Caenorhabditis elegans: one gene and its partner. The protein of the gene in region 1 interacts with the protein of each later gene in a pairwise test. Each region holds a gene or a part of one and is shown in the gene's direction. Other genes may lie near its edges.

What was found. Proteins that work in one complex are often made in the same cells at the same time.
Region 2: the proteins of unc-43 (region 1) and egl-2 interact in a two-hybrid assay, tested with the Caenorhabditis elegans proteins (one study listed by BioGRID).

What each region holds. Positions count from the first base shown.
Region 1 is NC_003282.8:10,348,565-10,352,318, reverse strand, and holds the start of unc-43 (Calcium/calmodulin-dependent protein kinase type II), read left to right. Parts: upstream 1-2,101; coding exon 2,102-2,126; intron 2,127-3,347; exon of another isoform or gene 3,348-3,353; coding exon 3,354-3,434; intron 3,435-3,754. Other genes in the region: Y43C5B.2 (Tyrosine-protein kinase), read left to right, coding at 37-59, 112-289, 338-874. UniProt on the Caenorhabditis elegans protein: Acts in the signaling of a variety of pathways and processes. Phosphorylates 'Ser-319' of daf-16 in response to stress signals, such as heat, starvation and oxidation, which plays a role in prolonging lifespan.
Region 2 is NC_003283.11:1,297,608-1,301,361, reverse strand, and holds the start of egl-2 (Potassium voltage-gated channel protein eag), read left to right. Parts: upstream 1-2,153; coding exon 2,154-2,232; intron 2,233-2,294; coding exon 2,295-2,412; intron 2,413-2,671; coding exon 2,672-2,784; intron 2,785-2,829; coding exon 2,830-2,958; intron 2,959-3,717; coding exon 3,718-3,754.

The sequences.
Region 1 (3,754 bases):
AGATTTAAATTCAAACAACTCTCGGTTCATTGAAAAATGGCAAGTGGAACAGCAAGCATGTAAGTTTTTGTGATTCTCGTGGTTTCCCTCTTCAATGAAGTATCATTTCAGGCAGCGACCGTCTATCGAAAAGGAGCCGTACTATCATGGGTTCCTGCCCCGCGAAGACGTCAAAACCGTTTTGAAAAATAATGGAGATTTCGTGATTCGCATCTCGGAGCCTCAAGCTGGATCACCAAGAAGTAACATCCTGAGTGTGATGCACTGCGTTCCTCCAATGGAAGAAGAGGTAATTAAATAGTTTTAGACTTTATTTTCAAGTATTTTTTAATTTCAGATCAAACACTATGTGATCAAAACCAAAGGCGATAAGATCTTCATCGAAAAAGTATCATTCTTGTCAATCCCAGAAATGGTGGAGTGGCACTTGACTAAGAAGGAATCGGTTCAAAAAGATGTGTTTCTCATCAAGGCAATCTCACGTCAAGCTTGGGAGCTGGACCACGACAATATCGAGCCTCTGAAGAAGCTGGGAGAAGGTGCATTTGGAGAAGTGATGATGGGAACGATGAAGTTTCGGAAAGGAGGAAAGTCAGTTCAAGTGGCGATCAAGCAGGCGAAGCTCTCGAATCTCACAAAGGAGCAGATCAAAGAGTTCATGGGTGAAGCTCGTGTGATGCGTTCACTTTCACATCCCCATGTCGTTCGCTTTTATGGTGTGCCCCGTAGAAGAGTTAACGTTGCACTATGTCGGTCACTGAACGAGTTTCTTGCTAAATGTCACAGAAAATTGCGTTGCGCAACGCCTTTTTTTGTGTGTATGTCTGTGAATTGGCTCTCAGTGCTCAATGAGCTACGCGTTTTTCTTGAATAAAGGAAAGTTTTATGAACAGTTGATAATTTGAAATTTCAGTTTTATTTAAATATTTTTCCAACAACCTCGTTGTGTTTTCGAACATCAAAAATAATTTTTAAGATTCAGTCGAAGCTTTGTGCAACTTGTATTTAGGACATAATCTAAAATAGTTTTCCTCTCGAATCTCAGAGCTGTTGAAAAATATAATTAATTAATTTTGTACTATTTTGAATTAAAAAAACGCATTTTGGAAGATTTTGACTGCAGATATATGCAATTCAGAGTTAGATTTGAAGATGAAGCATCACAAACTGGAAAAGGCTTAATACCGCAAGTAGAGTTTTCACTTACTAATTTTTTACAAAATTTATTATTTACGTTCTAATCAACTTTTTTTTTTGAAAATTTTTCAGGTTCGAACCAGCAAAAATTCTCAAAATAACAAGACTTTGTTGTTGAAGTTTTGGCAATTTACCAAATTTTGACTGAAAGTTGTAAAGATTTAAATGGCGTTAGGAGCGTTTAATAATGATATTCAATTATGTTGGACTAAGTGTACAAAACTTTAAAAAAATTTGAAAGTATACATAGATTATTTCTAAAGAAGACGCCTATGAGTCTGTGGCAACGATATTTCAGAAGAACATTTTCAGACTCACAAGCTCTTTCGAAGCGTTTTTTAAGCGTTTTTCGAAAACAATACCAAGAAATGAATTACAAAATTTTTTTATTTAATGGTTTGTGTCTTCAATTAAAACACAGTTTTTTGAATAGATCAGATTCACCATGTCTGAATCCTTTAAAAAGTTCACTGCTTTTTGGGAATTTTTTTTGATAAATGAAAAAATATGCAAGAATCCAAAACCAAAGTTTTATACGGAGAAATGAAAATTTAAACTCAGAATAATCCGATAATTAGTCAAAATTCAACACATCATCGCCCCGCACTGTCTAGAAACCAGTTTCTCGTCTTCCATTTATTTTTCTTTTGAAAAAAGGCATTTTACGTACGTTTCGCCTTCTTTTTTCTCTCTTTTCAAAATCAAAGTTTTGTTATCGTAGTCAATTTTGTAGCATAGGACACAAAAAACACAGAAAAACTAGAGAAACATAGAGAAAACACACCGAGACCTACTCGTACGAAAGTTGAGAAATTGAAGAGTGAAATTAAATTGATTCTAATTGATTAGTAGTTACTGTCATTGTACCTATCTATCAACTTTCAAACTATAAATTATTGATTGAATGAGCAATTCTTCCACAAATTCAGGTTAGATTGTTTCTATTTTAATATTCCTATCTTCTAACAATTGAAAATATATATGATTCATGTTGACTGAGATTGATTGGTAGAAATAACAAAAAAAAGTTAGATAACATCGAACATAATTTGTTTGCATTCTTTGTTCTGCAGATTAGAACACAAAATTTATATCATGAAACTTTTTTTTAATTTGTAAGATAAGAAATGCGGGGTACATTCACACTGAAAACTGGAATTCCTTATTGATTTTTTTGAATAAGAAAAGTTTATTTTCGACTACGAGACTATTATTCAATAAGCCGTTAACATAGTCCCGAAAATTTTTACCTACATGCCTTCACCTACCTCGTACCTTCTTATCTATATTTTTCATTTCTAATTTTTAGAGTAATGCCTGTAAGAATTTAGAATTTTGTAAACATGGCCAAATATTATAATTACTAAACACTCTAATCATTTTTACTCAAAGTTTTGGTAGAGTGTCAAAATTTCAAAAGAAAAAGGTTTTTTTAACGACTGCCAGTTTTTGAAAAGGTTTACTATGAAATTTTGTATTAAAACATTGTCTAGTCTCAAACTAGAGTTTAGAACTCAATTAGATATTAGTCTAACTATATTATTCGAGTTGAGATCTACATGTGTGGGAAATTTCAAAACTTCAAAACTTGATTTTTTAAGTTCCCTCCTTGCCACTCGATTGTTTTGTGAAATTAATAGGAAAATTGATTAGAAAAAATGATTTTCTTGCATATTTCATCAAAAGTGCTGTGATTCCTTAGTAGTTCAGAGTTGCTGTAGCCTATAAGTTTTCCATGTTTGTTGCCAAGAAAACAGGTTTTTTTGGTGAAAAATAAGCTACATTAAAATCGAATAGGTCAGTTCCAAAACGAATGAACTCTGAAGATTGGAAATTGACCTCTCTTGCAATTAACCCATTAGCCAGAGACAAGCACAACACTCAAAAGTCAATCTAAATCTTACTTTCTGATTCATCCTTTTCCTTTACAATATATTCTGACTTCTGAATTCCAAAAGTTCAAAGAATACTCAAAAATTAACAAAAGTCGACCTGACATTTTGTAAGTGTCTATGTGTGCCAACAATTCGTCCGTTGAAATTTGAGAATTCGATCGTCGTCGTCGTCAGTCGAAGCCAGGCGACACATAACATTTTTTTTTCATTTTCATTTCTTCTTCAAAGAATTTAATAATATTAATCCATATTTTCTTTCAGAGGTCAATATAGATCAGAACAATCAATCAGACACGTTCAGGGAACATCCGGCAGTTACAGGCATTGCCAATCTTTCAAAAGGTATTCATTTTTCAATCTTTCAAATGTTTTCAAAGCATTTTAGAAAAATTTTGTTACAAATTTAGCAACTTAAGATAATAAATATGCGTAAATTTTTATTTTTTAAATACATTTTTAATTTGTTTTAAAAATTTTGAATTTACAGTCAAAAAGTGGACTCAGTTTTTATCTATAATAATTTTGGAAGTCGATCAAAAAACTCTATGAATTCCATACTTTATTCACGCTAGAGTTTAACAACTGTAGAGGCGGTGTGCGGCAAATTTTGAAATTTTCCGAGTTTGGCAAACTCGGCAAATTCTGCAAATTTACCGTGGTCG
Region 2 (3,754 bases), on another chromosome or scaffold:
CATAAAAAATTCAGAAAAAAACTTTTTTTTTTGGTCGACTTCCAAAATTATGAGTGGCAAAAACTTAGTAATTGTCACTTTTTGACAGGAAATAAAAAAAATTTAAAAATTTTTTAGAAAGTTTTATTACGATGTTCAGTCATTTTGGCGCTATAGGAGTAGTTTTAACAATTTCCCAACTGGCGCTACTCCACCTTTAAAACATGCCTATGAGGTCACAATGACAGAATATTATGATTTAAGAAAAAAACCAAAAAAATTCGAAATTTTATATGAATTTTTGAAAGTTGTTAAAATATGAAGGTTTGTCGCAATATTGTGTTATAGATCGCGTAGAAAATCATATTTTTAAAATTTTTTTGAATGATCTTCTGCTATCAATTTCCAACCAATATCCAAATAATACTTCCTCAATAAGCTCCATTCCTCTTCCTCATCCGACCTCATTGCTCGGTCTCAAATTTCAAAGCTCAAACCAGCTCGTCGCCTAGCAGCATCCTTTGGAATATTAGATCATGTTCCGAAACATGCTCCATCCTCCTTCACCCGGAAAGCTTCGAGGGGAGTTGCGTGCATGCCAACCGACTCTCGACCCTGTCTTTTTCGGGACTGAATATTATGATGAAGAGACGCATCCGATTAGTCAGACGAGTCGAGAATTTCGAAACAGCGACCTGGTTCGAAATTTTTTCTTACTTTTTTTTCTCTAATCCTTATCTCAATTCTCAACACGCGATGATATTCAGAGCTCCCACTTGATAAGTACATCTCCTCTGCTGAAGGGTATAACATTTCTAAGTTTTGCATTTGTTGTTGAAATTAAGTTTCTAATCCAAAAACCTCCTTCTTTGATGAAGGGAATTCCGAAATTTGAGTAATTGCTTTAAAGCGTTTTTTTTTTTCCGAATATTTTTTTTCCGTGTCGCAGTTGATTTTTTTTTGAAGTAACATCCTTTTTTGCATATATATTTTTTAAATTTTTCTCTGGTACCGAAATCTGGGAAATTTTTTTAAATGACTCCAAATTTTCCCCTGGTTCCGAATATCGATGTGAAAAAAATAAATAAAAACTCCCTGAGTTTATATTCAAGCTTGAAATCACGAATTTCATTTGTGTCCAGTCTATTAATTCTCTCAAATGCGCCCGCCAATAAATTCGCATTGGAGCGCACTTGCATCGTTTCATTTTCCTCGTTAGTTTTACTTATTCACGGGGTTCTGGCCTTCCTCATTGAATTTTTCGCGCTCCATAGACAATCGCCCGCCGGACAATGCGTGGTAAAGTCGGGTACTCCACACGGACAATTACATTTAGTTTTACAACTAAAATCGAGCCGCGACGCGACACGCAACCCGCAGTAAATCTACCCCAGTTATGGCCGAGCTAATATGGCTTAGTTCGGCAAACTCTTCCATTTCAAATCATGAGGGAAGCCAGAAATCCGTACTTATTTTCGCCGAATTTAATTTGTTTACTTTTTTATCGGGGCACAAATGAAATTCGTGATTTCAAGCTTAAATTCAGGGAATTTTTTTTTTCACGTTGATATTCGGAATCAGGGGAAAATTCGGAGTCAATTAAAAATATTTCCCAAATTTCGAAACCCCAGCTTTAATAAGCTCCAAAAAATTGATGTTTTTTGATGTTTTTTGGAGCACCAAAACTAACTCAATTTTGTGTCATTTTATTAAAATTTTGGGGACAAAATCAAACAATAGTTTTGGTCAAGACTGTATTGTCAAATTTTTGATGTGTGCTGCAAATCTCTTTTTATAAAAATTGGCAAATTCGGTGAATTTGCCGAGCTTGGCAAACGGCAAATTCGGCGAACTTGCCGCACACCCCTAGTCTATATGTATGTACGTTTAAAACTGTTCAAACTGGCACTCCTCCTTCGAATGAGCCTTGAATTTTTATATTTTTCTTCCGGTTTTTTTTAACTTGACAAAGTTGTGTTCAACTTGATCGTCTGCTTATTAAGTTTTAAATCATTTTCTACATTAAATAATCAATAAACTATTTTTCCAGATAACACTTTATTCTATTGAAATGTCATAGACAAAATTAACTCAAGAGCGATAGAACTACTGTGTAGGATCTTCCCTCTTCCATATTGTAGCTGCCCGTTTTTTTGCCGGAAAAATCTAACAATATGCCGGTTGGGAAACGTGGACTTGTGGCGCCACAAAATACGTTTCTGGAGAATGTTATTCGGCGGTGTAATAATGCAGGTGAGTTAACTAAAATCGGTACATCCCTGGTCCCACAAAAATGGAGAATACTGAAATTTCAGATACTTCATTCATTCTTGCAAACGCCCAAGTTGTTGACTATCCAATCGTCTATTGCAATGACGGGTTCTCGAAGCTCGTCGGGTATACTCGAGCTGAGATTATGCAGAAACCATGCTCGTAAGTTAATTTACCTGGGTTTAAAAATGGGTGAGTTATTTCAAATCACTGCGATTTATTTTTTGTTGTTTTTATTCTTTAACCCATTTGTTTTTTTTGTTGAGAAATTTGGCAATTTTTGAAATTCTGAAATTTTTGAATATGCTAAAAAAATTTGGTGTGTTTTATTATGTTTATCGATAATTTTAAACCACAATAAAAATGTAATCAGATTAAATCTCCACTGATCGATCCACCTATATGTAGAAAACACTTTCAGACTTGCTTTCATGCATGGCGAACACGGCGAGGTGGGCAGCCTTCAGAAGATGCAGGAAGCTTTGGAAAACGCGAGAACCGAACAGGCCGAAATTGGATTATGTAAAAAGAATAGTAAGCGTTTTTGGAAAATGAACATTTGCAGCATTTTTCTTACAGAAACACCTATTTGGCTTCTGGTCCACCTGGCTCCAATCAAAAATCACAAAGACGCAGTAGTGCTGTACTTGTGCCAGTTTAAAGATATTACACCGCTGAAACAACCATTGGATGATGAAAACAATAAAGGTAGAGTTTGGTTTTAATATGATGAAAGTGTGACCACTCAAATAAAAGATAATTGCATCCGAAGTTATCAAGTTAACCTTTGAAAACCCTAAAACACCGAATATAACTGTAAAAAAATTTATAACAATTTTCTAAATTTTTTATGATTTTTTAAAATTTGAAGATGAGCTGAATTATTTTTGAACTCTATTTTTTTCTTTGTTGGAAAATTTGAAAAATAAATTGTCACTTTTTCAGACATTTTTCTGAGCAGAAAATTTGGTAATCGGAAAAAATTTGCTGAAACTCTGGGACAAAAGTCAATAGGTCAAAATTAAAAAAAAAAAGTTTCAAATTTTTTTTAAATTTTTAAAAAAGGTTTGAAAATTTACAAAAAAATTTTGAAACTTTTTAACATTTATATTTGGTACAGGGGTGGGCTGCAATTGCCGTTCGGAAAATTGATTTGTCGACAAATTCGTCAAATCAGCAAATTGCCGGTTTGCCAATTTGCCGGAAATTTTTAATTCCGGCAATTTGACGGATTGCCGATTTGAAATTTTCATTTTCGGCCATGATTCGGAGCCGGACAACGCGTGGAAAAGTGTCGTGTACTCCATACGGACAAATACATCAGTTTTACAACTAAAATCGAGCCGCGACGCGAAACGCAACGCGCCGTAAATCTACCCCAGATATAACCGAGCCAAAATGGCCTAGTTCGGCAAACTCTTCCATTTCAATTTATGAGCGAAGCCTGAAATGCGTGAAAAATTTTAGGCTTGTCACGAATTCTTCAAATAGCACGGATCGCAAA